Linked DNA regions of Drosophila melanogaster. The protein of the gene in region 1 interacts with the protein of each later gene in a pairwise test. Each region holds a gene or a part of one and is shown on either strand. Other genes may lie near its edges. The genes, in order: sty and CG13731.

Region 1 (4,869 bases):
TGAAATTGCCCTCGAGTTCATGTTTAGACATTCACCTCGAGGCCAATGTGTTACCTCTGCCACTGCGGCGATTATCTAGGACACTTGTGACGTCAGGCGGGAAAACTGTTGGACTGGGGTGGCGTATTCATTGCGGATTGAATGCACGAAAAGCCATCAGAGCCAAACACCCAGACATCAACTTGGCCAACTTTCATACGGATTTCTCATTGAGCATTTTCGTTCAATGAAATTTCATTTATTTTTATTCTGTCCGTTCGCATTCACACTCATTTATTCGAATTTGTTTGCCCAAAAATGTTTCGGCCAATATACATACGTATATATAATTGAATGGCAGACCACTTTTTGTTGTCGAGTTTGATCTGATCGAATGATTCACATTTCGGTTGGCATTTCAATTTAGGGTCCAAACAATGGCAGATGTCCAGTTGTCCAACTCCGCAGCAAAGCAAATGAAATTCTTTCGGGGATACCCTTATCTTAAAAGGTTATTTTGTTTCTTTATGTTCTTGGGAAGTATTTAAAATATATTATTATTTAATGCTATTCAAAAAGTATCTTACTCAACTTACTCATCCTAAAATAACATTTTCCTAGCGCTCAAGAAAGTAATCCACATTCGTTTTTGAATCCAATTTAGCTCACTCAGCTTTCTTGTTAGACTTTAGCTTTTTATTGTTCTTTATTCTGATGTTCCTTATACATATACAATATATACGTATACAAATATATATGTAGAGTTATTGTGATGCGTACCGCCCATATGTGGAGCTCGGCGAAGTGGCTGCTTTCCGCCAAATTTGGTGCCGCATTCGACCGGATGTCGTTGGAAATAATATTGAAATCTTTATTATTTTCACTGATTAATTTATGGGGCAGTAAACGAAATGAGCTTTGAGTGTGCTGTTCGATTTTAATTTGGGAGCGGTGCACAGGGTGCTGGCTAATTTTCAAATAAGCCCGCCTTAAGGAGGCAGGGCAACCCTGGCCGAACAGCTGATGGACAACGGATGACCTTGGGGGTAATTGCAACAACCCCCAAGTGGAAATTCACTGCCATGGCCAATGTCGAGGCGACGCCTACCGAAGGTCGTTGCCAAGGCAACTGAGTGGGCCAGAGCCCAGCTCATTGGGCCAGGAAATGCAGGCGTGTGTGAGTGGGCGCCCATTGAAAGTGGCGATGCATTCAAAATGGCCGTCAAACGGACGACCTTGAAAGCCGAGTGCTCATTGGCCGGGCCACCGAGGCCAGGATGTTGGGTGGCGGGTGGCTGGTGGGTTGGTAGGCAATTGGAGGGGGCTGGATGGCCATGCAAATGGAGGGAACTGGGAGCCAGGAGCTGGGAACAGGAGCAACCAGCAGCCAGGAGCCAGGATTAGTCCTGCAGCAATAGCCGAAATCGGAAAACAATACGAATGTCGCACGAAGCCCACGCAATGTCGTTTCGTGTTTCGGATTTTGGGACCTTCGGCCCAACGAATGGGTATTCCCCTCCAGGACGAGATCCTATCGGCAATCTTCGGGTGAGGCTGCAGCTCCGATGCAAAAGTCGTGCAACATTGGCTCAGTCACTGGACGATAGTCAGGCTGCATTCAACGTGCAATCTCCGAGAACTTGTGCTTGCAAAATTATTTACCAAATATATATACCCGATATATATACAGTTGTATGTTCAAAGACACAACGCAATTAGCGATTAATAGATGCGCACACGGCGTATGCGTAATTTAAGTGAATCCAAGTAAAAGTGCGCGTGTTTTTAAATAATTAACAATTTTAAATAGTAAACTATCCCATTGAAAAAAAAAACATAATCATACATAGCGTAAGCCTCTTTAACTTTATTACAAATTAATCGTGCTATTAATCAATTAACCAAGGCATCTCGTTGAGTACAGTTGCCACCAGAAAAACAAAACAACTCAATCAACCCCAAAAACCAGAACGAACAAAGGCGAGCTGTACCGAGCCAAAAAAAATCTCTAATCAAATTATCCGCATTATCTGCAATCGAGTCGACCAAGCCGAGGAAAACTTTCAACCAGAACCCATCCATCAAGCAACTTCCCTTCACCGGTGAGTAGCTTCATTGTCCCTTGTCCATCTCTATCAATATATGAACCTTCGCAGTCGAAGAACACTTAAATGTCTCAAGTCATTCATATTGTCAATTGGAACTTTGGATCTTGACTTTTTGTTCTTCTCTTGAGAGCTAAAAGTCACCCAAAGGTTAAGTGACCAGTGCTCATCAGTTGGAAAGGCATTAAAAGTCATTTATATGCCAGTGATTTTTATGCAAGAGATCTTATCGAAGATTTGTCAAGGATATTATAAATGTATTATAAAATGTTCATCCATTTGAATCTTAAATATCTGAGTAAATACGCGGTTGTATAGTTTGTAGAAATTGGGAATTAAATTTCTGGAAAAGTTGAAAAGTCTATCCTAGCCAATATTTTAAAAAAACAAGATCAACTCGATAAAAATAAATTCGTGACATTGTTTCTTTTAGTCAAACAATGATGAACAATTTCCCTACAATATCTTTGAGCTTTGAGTAATGGAATAACATTTAATCGATAGTATGATAGGTCTTAATTTTATAAATTTGTCATCTGTACCCTTTTTCCCTACCTAAAAATCAAATCTTATGCCTGAGCCTTAGAGCTTAGGCATTCTGGAATGCCATAAATCATTTTCACTGCCCCAAATGGGGGGAAAGGCGGAATCGGCGAGGATGAGTGGGGCGAAGTGGCTGGAAGAAGGCTCTTAAGTTAATTTAGTACTTTGTTCGCTGTGCCAGATCATTAAAATTATTTGGCGACTTTGAAAAATTCGAAACAGTAGCCCACAAATACCGACAGCTGAACGAATCTCGAAATGAAATTGGTTTGGCTGATGAGGATGGAGATCGTGTTTTCGTTCGCCGGCTACCCGCTGCGTTTGTCTGCAGATGTCTCATAAACATGAAGACCAACCAGTCCCTACCCTCCGAATATATATCTTTTTTCGAAATTTGTATAATCTGTATGCGAATCATAATGACGCGAAATCAAGATCGGACTGAAGGCTGAAAGCTGAGACACACTTTGGCCTTTTATGCCAGCTCACATGGAGGCTGAGGCTCAGCAAGAATTTTAAAAACTTAACCCATTTTGCAAACATAATGTAGTTTTACATTTGAATATATAAATGGGGATATTATGTATAATTAAATTCTGATATAAATGTAGGCAATAATCATTGTTTAAATCATAGCAAAGAATTGCAAATTGGAAAGTCCTTTAATGATTAAAGAAGTCATAAGAAGTACATTTAAATGCAAGGTCTTGGTCTGTTTCTATATGACTTTGGGTAAAACCAAAGCATCTGGGAGTTTTCCTAAAACCCCTAGGATACCCAGAGGGTTAAGGTTTCGCTGAATCTGTACCGTTCAATTAGCTCTGTCTTTGGGACTGGCGTTGACCAAGACTAATGCGCACATTTCATGCTGATCGTCGCAGGAATTCCAATTCCCTGCGAGTGAGTTCTCCTGGGTTTCTTATTTTAATTTTTTTTTTTTTTTTTGGCTCTGGGTTGGGCTGGCCCTGTCGGAGGAGACCTTTTCTTTGGGTCGGTCGCGTAACATAATTGCGTGAATAACTGCGTTAATTTCCCAAAAGACTTGACAGCGGATGTGGCTACTGGTCTGCGCCGTTGACTCCTCCAGCCTCCCAAATCCTCAGTCCTTCACCTTCTGCTTTGCATTGGCATTCCACGGACTATGCCATCGATATCGATCCGATTCGAACCGATCCTCTGGGCCCTGTGCCTCTCGCATTTTTGGACCCGGGTGTGCCAATGTTTTTTTTTTATCTTATTTATATTAAGTTTTTTTTTTGCCATAAATGGCTTCCGCCGGAGTGTCCAGTTTTTGGCTCACGCTGCATACGCATATACATGTGGAGCTCCATTTAAGGTGGTTCCGGGGGCTGGGGCTCCTCCAATATAATTATGAATAGGCAGGCCATGTGGGCATGGGCAACTCCCCCGCCTTCGTGGCCCCAACTACTCAAATCCAAAATATGAGCTATGCGTTCCAATTTCAGTTGTGGGCTTTTCTCGGATCTTAACTCGGCCCCTCTTTTCTTTCGCATTTTGCACCGGTAGAAATAATAGATTTAGTAGAATTATTGCTTGATTAGAAAAAATATTAATTAATTATCTATTTATAATATAGTTTCTAATTACACACTGCACCAATCCAATTGTTTTTTGTAGACACAAAAAATATTTTTTCACATTATATTTATGTGTTTCACAATTTTTTGAACCTTAGGTTAATATTTTATATTTTCTAAACAAAATACAAAGTATTTTCATGTTAATTTGGTAAAAGTATTTTTCTTAATGCCTTTATACCATTTTTTCACTTTATCGATCGCAACGGAAGCGAGTTGGCGTTGCCATCGTCATTTTGCGTTTGTCACAAATTTGTTTAGCTAAAATATTGATAGAGAGAAGACATAAAAAATAAACACAATTTTTTAGATAGTTTTTCATGTGGGGGTTCCGACGGAATTCGGAATTCGGTTTCGAGCCTACTTTGACGAATTTGGAAGTAACATAAATATGCATTCTGCTCAGCAAAAGTATGACATTATATGCCATGTGACAATTTATGCTGACATCTCCTCATTATTTTATTATATTTAAAAAATAAGCGGCTTCAGCTTGGCTAACCTTGTTTAATGAAATCGCTTGATACTTATTTATTTTTATTTTACTTTGTTGTAACGCCAGTCAGTTATCTACCAATTTATTAATACATTCTTAATGATCGATTGTGGGGAAAATTGTTTACAAGAACTAATCACCTAATCTA
Region 2 (7,754 bases), about 14 Mb from region 1:
ATTATGATTTCCGCGCCCGAAGACAAAGGCTCATAACAATTCACATACGAGCTCTGAAACTTCCCTAGATTAACAAATATATTTTTAAATTATCCAAATAGCAACCTGTCTAGAATGCGGTTTAGAACAGGCTCAAGCGACGGTCTTGTTTGATTCGAAAACCGCTAACGTCCTTCAGTGGAGTCCAAAATTTGAGGCAGCAAATTATCAGACACTCGGTATGGAAGTTGAATAATCGTCTGTTGCAATGTCGGATGAGGTGACAAAAAAAGGCTTTTCCTCTAGCCGGCAGTCAAGAAGCATTCGATGAGCCAAAAACTAAAAAAGAAAAAAATAATAAAAACAATTCAGTCGCTTCAGTTATCCGCAATGACAAATTTGAAATGTCAGCAGTCGCCGCCAAGTGTCATTGCCTTTGTGAAGATGTGCGAAGCAAGTTATGACCCGAATAAGTTAGCCAGCAATTATGTAATAAAAGACAAGAATTAATGTGGCTCTAAGTGGCGTCTGATGGCCGCAGGGGTGACTTCCGTTCGGCTGCACTTCCTCTGGGTGTTGTTCCGCCGTTTTATCTAGACCCTGACTACCCAGTGACCACGCACCTTTGGGCCGAAAGAGTTCAAAGTCACATCTATTTTGGGCCCGCTCATGACTGCGCGTGGCCAGTGGGTGTCACTCTGATTGGTTCATTAAAATCAAGACGTGACTGCTTGCGAATAAATAAATTCTAGTTATTAAACTGGCGAAATGCAGGCGATGACAAATGCCGAAACCCGTTTGGGAGTCGCTCGAAGAATGCAGCACTGAACACCGATCACCGATCACCGATCATCGAGATCTTCGAGTGTGCGTTTAAAGGTCACTCGGCTGACACGGAGTCAGAGATGAGCTGAGCCGAGCTGAGCCTACCTTAACATTCAACTCCGGCTGCCATCTGCTGACCCCCGGGCACACGCATTTTTGGCCAAGTCAACCGGTTCATGTTCAATTGGCCGACTCCAACTCCAACATCGACTCGCAACTCCAACTGCATTTAGGCCTGATCCGAGGGGTAAGTGCCATTAGCCAACGCCTGATCTTCTCGGCCTTATTTGCCTTGGCAAGCTTCGTTGGGAGCCTTGACTTGGCTCTCGATCGTCGAGCCAGCTTCGGCTTGTCTCATCGATTGATGAAATTCGGTGGCTCGGACCCATTTACCAAATTAAATGCTGCACGACAACGTGTTTAACACTCGCCGCAGACTTCTGCCAAAAGTACGAGCATATTTGCCAGCCATCGGAGTTGGCTAAATAGAAATGCCAACAAGAGCAGGCGTTGGTGGATGGATGGTCGGATGGCCGGATGGTGCGTCTGGCTTAGTTGCTCTTCTGCCATAATTGCTGGGCCTTAATTTGGCTGCCTTTTTGTCTTAGCCATGTTATCTGGCTGTTAACTCACAAACATCAAACAACCGAGACTGGTTGGCTTTCTGGTCAGCATTCAGCTGTCGGCGTCGCTGTCGACGAAGGCTGAGGCATCAGCAGCGGCAGAGACTTCGTATTCGGCTCATCTTCATCTGGCCAAAACGCTTTCGATTTCGGCTTTTGGCCGTGTGTTAACAGCTGTCGCCCAGGTGAAGATGCCTCTGCCGACGCCGCTGCCCAAGTGGGCAGATGCTGGGTCCGAGTATATATAGAAAATCTACAAGTTTTGATGCTTTAGTTGGTATTCCACACTCGACCTAGAAGTTAAACCAACTTAGCTTGGCATCGATCAAATTCAATCGTCCATTGAATTTGATACGATCGGTCGCGTCTTCTCCTTTCCGATCCTCACAGTACCGTCCGCAAGGATTATTCACGCACACCGCCTAGGATTACCTACGCACCCGGGATTACCGCAACTGCCGTTTGTAGCAGTCCGAAAGTGTACACCATGGTAACCGAACCCAGTTCCAATCCAATCTAAACCAAAACGAACAATGATCGTGTGCAAAGTGCAAAATAACGAAACAAGTGTCCCTCGGTGTGAAGACAAACAAGACAGACATTTCGCAAAGGAAAAGCAGTGCAGATGAAGATAAAAAGTATCAGTTTTGTTGGTCCAAAATATTTAGGGAGTTTCCACGTTTTATAGTTTGGGCTTGTGACAGTACAGAAAATAATTGAACGAATACGAATTTTCAATGATATTTGTATTCAAACTTTAATTTTAAATTAAAACATTTCTTGTGTTAAAATAATGTGTCAGCTATTTAGCGCTAGATCTTCAGAAATTTATTAATCCGAACTTGTATAAAAGGATACTAAAAAAGCATGTTCTACAATTTTATAGGGATACAATCATAAAAAAGGGTTATAAGATAAGATAGGGCCTTTAAGTTCATTCAAAATCATTCCGATTTTTCTCTGTGCATACCCAAGCATCGCAAACAAGAAGAAATAGCAAATAAATTGCCAACACCGACTGCAGTTCCAATTCAATCGCCATCTATTTGCATTTCACATTTTGTCGAGGGTCCAGCTCTGGACCCGGGCTATCATCGCGAGTTAAGAGTTGACCAGATGGCGGTTGACATTTAAGCCATGTAGAAATTGAGCAAGTGGCATCGAGTGCAATGTTACGCATACGCCGTGTTGGCCGCCCACAGAGCAAATCGCCTTGGCGCGATCCGCAATTTGCGTATTAAGTCATTAGGATGGACCAGCTGCATGTGCATTCTGCCATGTGGCGGCAGTTTCTATGTCAGCATTGACATGGCTGAAGATGAAATTAAAACTTGTTTTTTTTTCCATAATTTTCGCTTTTGCTTCTGACATTTGCTAGTCGCAATTTGCGATTGGCGTATTTAGGTAAATAGCCATAAAAACGTTGCCTTAAGTTAGATTCTTGACGTTGCCATTGAATAGACGTCCATTAATCACCATCATTGTTGCCAAAGAAGATTTCATTTGTTAAAGGGCCGACTGATCTTTTCCCCAGACTTTAATTCACCCAAATCTCTCACAGTTTCGGAAAAATAAAGTTGCCCCAAAAGTCTTGGCATTGGGGCTCTGCCCTCGAGGCGGTGTGAATCAGATTAATTAGCTGCCAATTAGCTCACTGAACAGTCGAGGGAATCGGTTTGCCCCTGCAAATATCTCTCCAAGTCCTTTCACTTTCTAACCTTTAAGCACCACCCGCCATAAGTCAAACCCGATTTGGTTCTCGATATCCTCAGCTCAATTGTGGCTGATATTTAAAACAAGTTAGAACAGCAAAAATTTTAGGTTCATTAGCATAAATTATTTAAAATCATTTACATACAAAGATCAAATATTTTTGAAATTAGCAAACAATCAGAAACCAACAAAAAAAATAAATGAAACTGGACCCAGTCGATTTTGGAGGTATGGCTTAAAATCTAACAGATTTGGTTATAAATGACAACCGGGGCTTACTATTCTTCGCATGCCAGATGCGTATGCTAATTTTGCGTTTTCTCACTAGTTTTATGGCCAGTCTTTGCTGATTATTATATAATCATGGCTAGAACTGGTCTGGAGTTTGGGGCCCGGATCCGGGCCGGTTTCTTTCATAATCGGCTATTTTTATAGCCCCCGAAAATTCTCCGTCAGCCAATTAATTGAGCTCATCGACACTGGCCATCTGCGGCCATCGACGAGCACTTTCATTAACTAACAATGACCTTGCCGAAACTCCAGCGACAAATGCAAATAAACCCGCTGACAGCATCGTCGGAAGCCATAATTCAGGGGCTACTTCCTCGGATCCCCATTGAGCTTCGGATCTGTTGTGTCGCTCCGCATTTGCATGGGCATTATGTATCAATCGCGTCAATCTGCGATATTTACATACATAGCTCCGGGGGAGGGGACTGACCTAGAGATGCTAATGCCCGTCAAAGTTGAATGTCTGCGTTAGCATTTCGGGTGATTTTCAATGCATTATGGTAAATCGATTCGCCAGCTTGGCTGTTTGTTGGCTGAACTTTACCACAGTTTTGAACTGCAGGCCAGCGGAGTTGCCTTGCCTCCTCCGACCCCGACCAAGTTGCCACGAAGCGTGAATAGGCGATTAGCCTAGAAGGCGATCAATTAGTCGCAATCAGGTTGTTAGAGCCAGTCGTTAGTCTGAGCACCTCTGTACGGCGACACCATCGAAGTCCATCAATATGTAGCATCACTAATCAGGCTGTGTTTTTCGTTCCTTCCCCACAGAGAAGTGCACTGTTCGTCTTGGCGCTTTGCGTTGTGGCTGTGGCCACCGCATCGGCCGATAACCATGAGGTAAGTGCGGAAATCTGACGATTCCCTGCCAACAGGAACTTACAAGCCACTTTTTACAGCGCAAGACTCGTGCCGCCGAGGGATACTTCTACCCCCCTCCCGATGTTCCATTCGATCTGCCCGTCCGCACCACACAGCCGCCAACAAGGCCGCCAACGCGCCCTCCTACTAGGCCACCCACCAGGCCACCCACCAGGCCTCCCACGCCACCACCAACCTACCTGCCGCCCACCAACAAGCCACTGCCACCAGTGACCACCCGTCTTCCTCCACCACCACCACCACCAAGGACTCCTCCCCCAACGAGGCCCCCAACTAGGCCACCAACCACTCGTCCTCCGGCAACCTACCTGCCACCCACCAACAAGCCACTGCCACCAGTGACCACCCGTCTGCCTCCTCCACCACCATCACCAAGGACTCCTCCACCAACGAGGCCGCCAACTAGGCCACCAACCACTCGTCCTCCAGCAACCTATCTGCCACCCACCAACAAGCCACTGCCACCAGTGACCACCCGCCTGCCTCCTCCACCACCACCACCAAGGACTCCTCCACCAACGAGGCCCCCAACTAAGCCACCAACCACTCGTCCTCCAGCAACCTACTTGCCACCCACCAACAAGCCACCGCCACCAGTGACCACTCGTCGTCCAACACCACCACCAACGAGGCCACCACCACCACCGACCCGTGCATCGACTCCAGCTCCTACCTACCTGCCTCCCACCAACAAACCACTGCCACCAGTCACCGTGCGCACCACTGTTCGCACCACTCCTCGTCCAACTCCTCCTCCTACCAAGCCACCAACTCGCCCACCAACCACTTATCTGCCACCCCCAACTGTGCGCACCACCCGCCCTCCTCCACCACCCACTCGGCCACCAACTAAGCCACCAACCACTTACTTGCCTCCCGTTACCGTGCGCACCACCCGTGCCACCCCCCCACCAACTCGCCCACCAACCCGGCCACCAACCTACCCACCGACCACTCGTCGTCTGACCACTCCGGCTCCTACTTACTTGCCACCCACCAACAAGCCTCTGCCACCGGTCACCGTTCGCACCACCGTTCGTACCACTCCTCGTCCAACTTTGCCTCCTACCAAGCCACCAACTCGCCCACCAACCACTTACCTGCCACCCCCAACTGTGCGCACCACCCGCCCTCCTCCACCACCCACTCGTCCACCAACTAAGCCACCAACCACTTACTTGCCTCCCGTTACCGTGCGCACCACCCGTGCCACCCCACCACCAACTCGTCCCCCAACTCGCCCCCCAACCCCTCCTCCAACTAGGCCACCACCACCACCAACCCGTGCATCGACTCCAGCTCCTACCTACCTGCCTCCCACCAACAAACCACTGCCACCAGTCACCGTGCGCACAACTGTTCGTACCACTCCTCGTCCAACTTTGCCTCCTACCAAGCCACCAACTCGCCCACCAACCACTTACTTGCCACCCCCAAGTGTGCGCACCACCCGCCCTCCTCCACCACCCACTCGTCCACCAACTAAGCCACCAACCACTTACTTGCCTCCCGTTACCGTGCGCACCACCCGTGCCACCCCACCACCAACTCGCCCACCAACCCGGCCACCAACCTACCCACCCACCACTCGTCGTTTAACAACCCCGGCTCCTACTTACCTGCCACCCACCAACAAGCCTCTGCCACCGGTCACCGTTCGCACCACCGTTCGTACCACTCCTCGGCCAACTCTGCCTCCTACCAAGCCACCAACTCGCCCACCAACCACTTACCTGCCACCCCCAACTGTGCGCACCACCCGCCCTCCTCCACCACCCACTCGGCCACCAACTAAGCCACCAACCACTTACTTGCCTCCCGTTACCGTGCGCACCACCCGTGCCACCCCACCACCAACTCGCCCACCAACCCGGCCACCAACCTACCCACCCACCACTCGTCGTTTGACAACCCCGGCTCCTACTTACCTGCCACCCACCAACAAGCCTCTGCCACCGGTCACCGTTCGCACCACCGTTCGTACCACTCCTCGGCCAACTCTTCCACCCACGAGGCCCCCAACTAAGCCACCAACCACCTACCTGCCTCCCCCAACTGTGCGCACCACCCGCCCTCCTCCACCACCCACTCGGCCACCAACTAAGCCACCAACCACCTACCTGCCCCCCGTCACTGTTGTGCGCACCACCCGACCTCCTCCACCACCCACTCGTAGGACCACCGTGTACGTGCCACCACCAACAGTGCGCACCACCGTGTACGTGCCACCCCCTACGCAGCGCACCACAGTCTACGTCCCACCCGCACCCACCAAGCACCAGGGCTACCAGTACCCCGTGCCCAGCATCCCCTTCAACTTCTAGATCTAGAGATCCAGATGTGATTAGGGATAGGGCCATCGTCTAGGGCTAGATTGATCTAGTCAATTCTCGTACAGTCTAACTTTACACGATCCGGCGCCAGCGGTGCTAGAGGGCGCCACTGGTGCGCCTGCAAGGACGACATTTGTTTGTTTTTATTTTATTTTTGTAATTAATGAATCGCATACTCATACAGCTAGGGATCATTGTAAATGAGTGCCCCAATTGTACAGCTAACAGTCTATCCAACTCTTGCTATGTTCTATCACTATTCTACAATCGATGGGCGGCCGTCGTCTGTGACGGACGCCAGCTCAAGACTATATAGCTCTATATTACGATTAAATAAACTTTTAATTCGGATCGCTGAAACCTGAACAATAAAATAAGTTTTTCGAATATTTACAAGCATTTTTTTCATCTGTTTTTGGGAAGCGGAAATTACATGCGGTCCTGTTATGTTATGTGCGATGTTTGAAACCCAAACAATAATAACATATTTTCTTTTTCACTCCTAACCGGGAAATGGGATCAAGCCATGTCCGGGAGATTTTGTGGTCTGGTTGGTCTCGTGGGTTCCTCCTCTTTTGGGAGTTATCTTAAAAGTCGGTTTTAACGACTATGCAAAGGAGATCGTTGCTTGCAAGTCATAAAGCGCCCAAAGTGCAGGTTAGGCAGTTAACCTTGACCTCCACTTCTGGTCTCTACTAATTTAAGTTATGGATGTGAAACACGTTAGCTTAGTTAATAGGTTTGAAAAGTTCGTATGAGTAGGTATTTAAATACATGTATGTTTACTATGAGCGATGTATATTTTCATGAAATATGAAATAATTTAACCTTAGGTTATAATTAAATGTCAAATTTGAGATATAGTTAAAATGTGATTTGAACTTATGACTTTTAAAATATTGAATCGATTTTTTTAATATAATTATTGATTATCACTAAATGTTATCATTTCCCTTTTTAAAAAGTATTTCACTTATATACAAAATTAGAGCTATGGCTAGTCAGCTCCTTCGTGAGTGCATAACCACTTCGGTTTCATCACGCCCCGAAGATATTTCTAGTTACTTCGCAGCTATCTTCAGATTTTCATGGTCAATGCGTTTTTTAATAT

What was found.
Region 2: the proteins of sty (region 1) and CG13731 interact in a two-hybrid assay, tested with the Drosophila melanogaster proteins (2 studies listed by BioGRID).

Annotation. Positions count from the first base shown.
Region 1 is NT_037436.4:3,421,637-3,426,505, reverse strand, and holds the start of sty (sprouty), read left to right. Parts: upstream 1-1,570; 5' UTR 1,571-2,081; intron 2,082-4,869. UniProt on the Drosophila melanogaster protein: Inhibitor of tracheal branching that restricts branch budding by antagonizing the BNL-FGF pathway (BNL: branchless, an fgf inducer of branching).
Region 2 is NT_037436.4:17,382,908-17,390,661, reverse strand, and holds CG13731 (uncharacterized protein), read left to right. Parts: upstream 1-1,705; 5' UTR 1,706-1,914; coding exon 1,915-1,917; intron 1,918-4,199; coding exon 4,200-4,268; intron 4,269-4,327; coding exon 4,328-6,634; 3' UTR 6,635-7,026; downstream 7,027-7,754.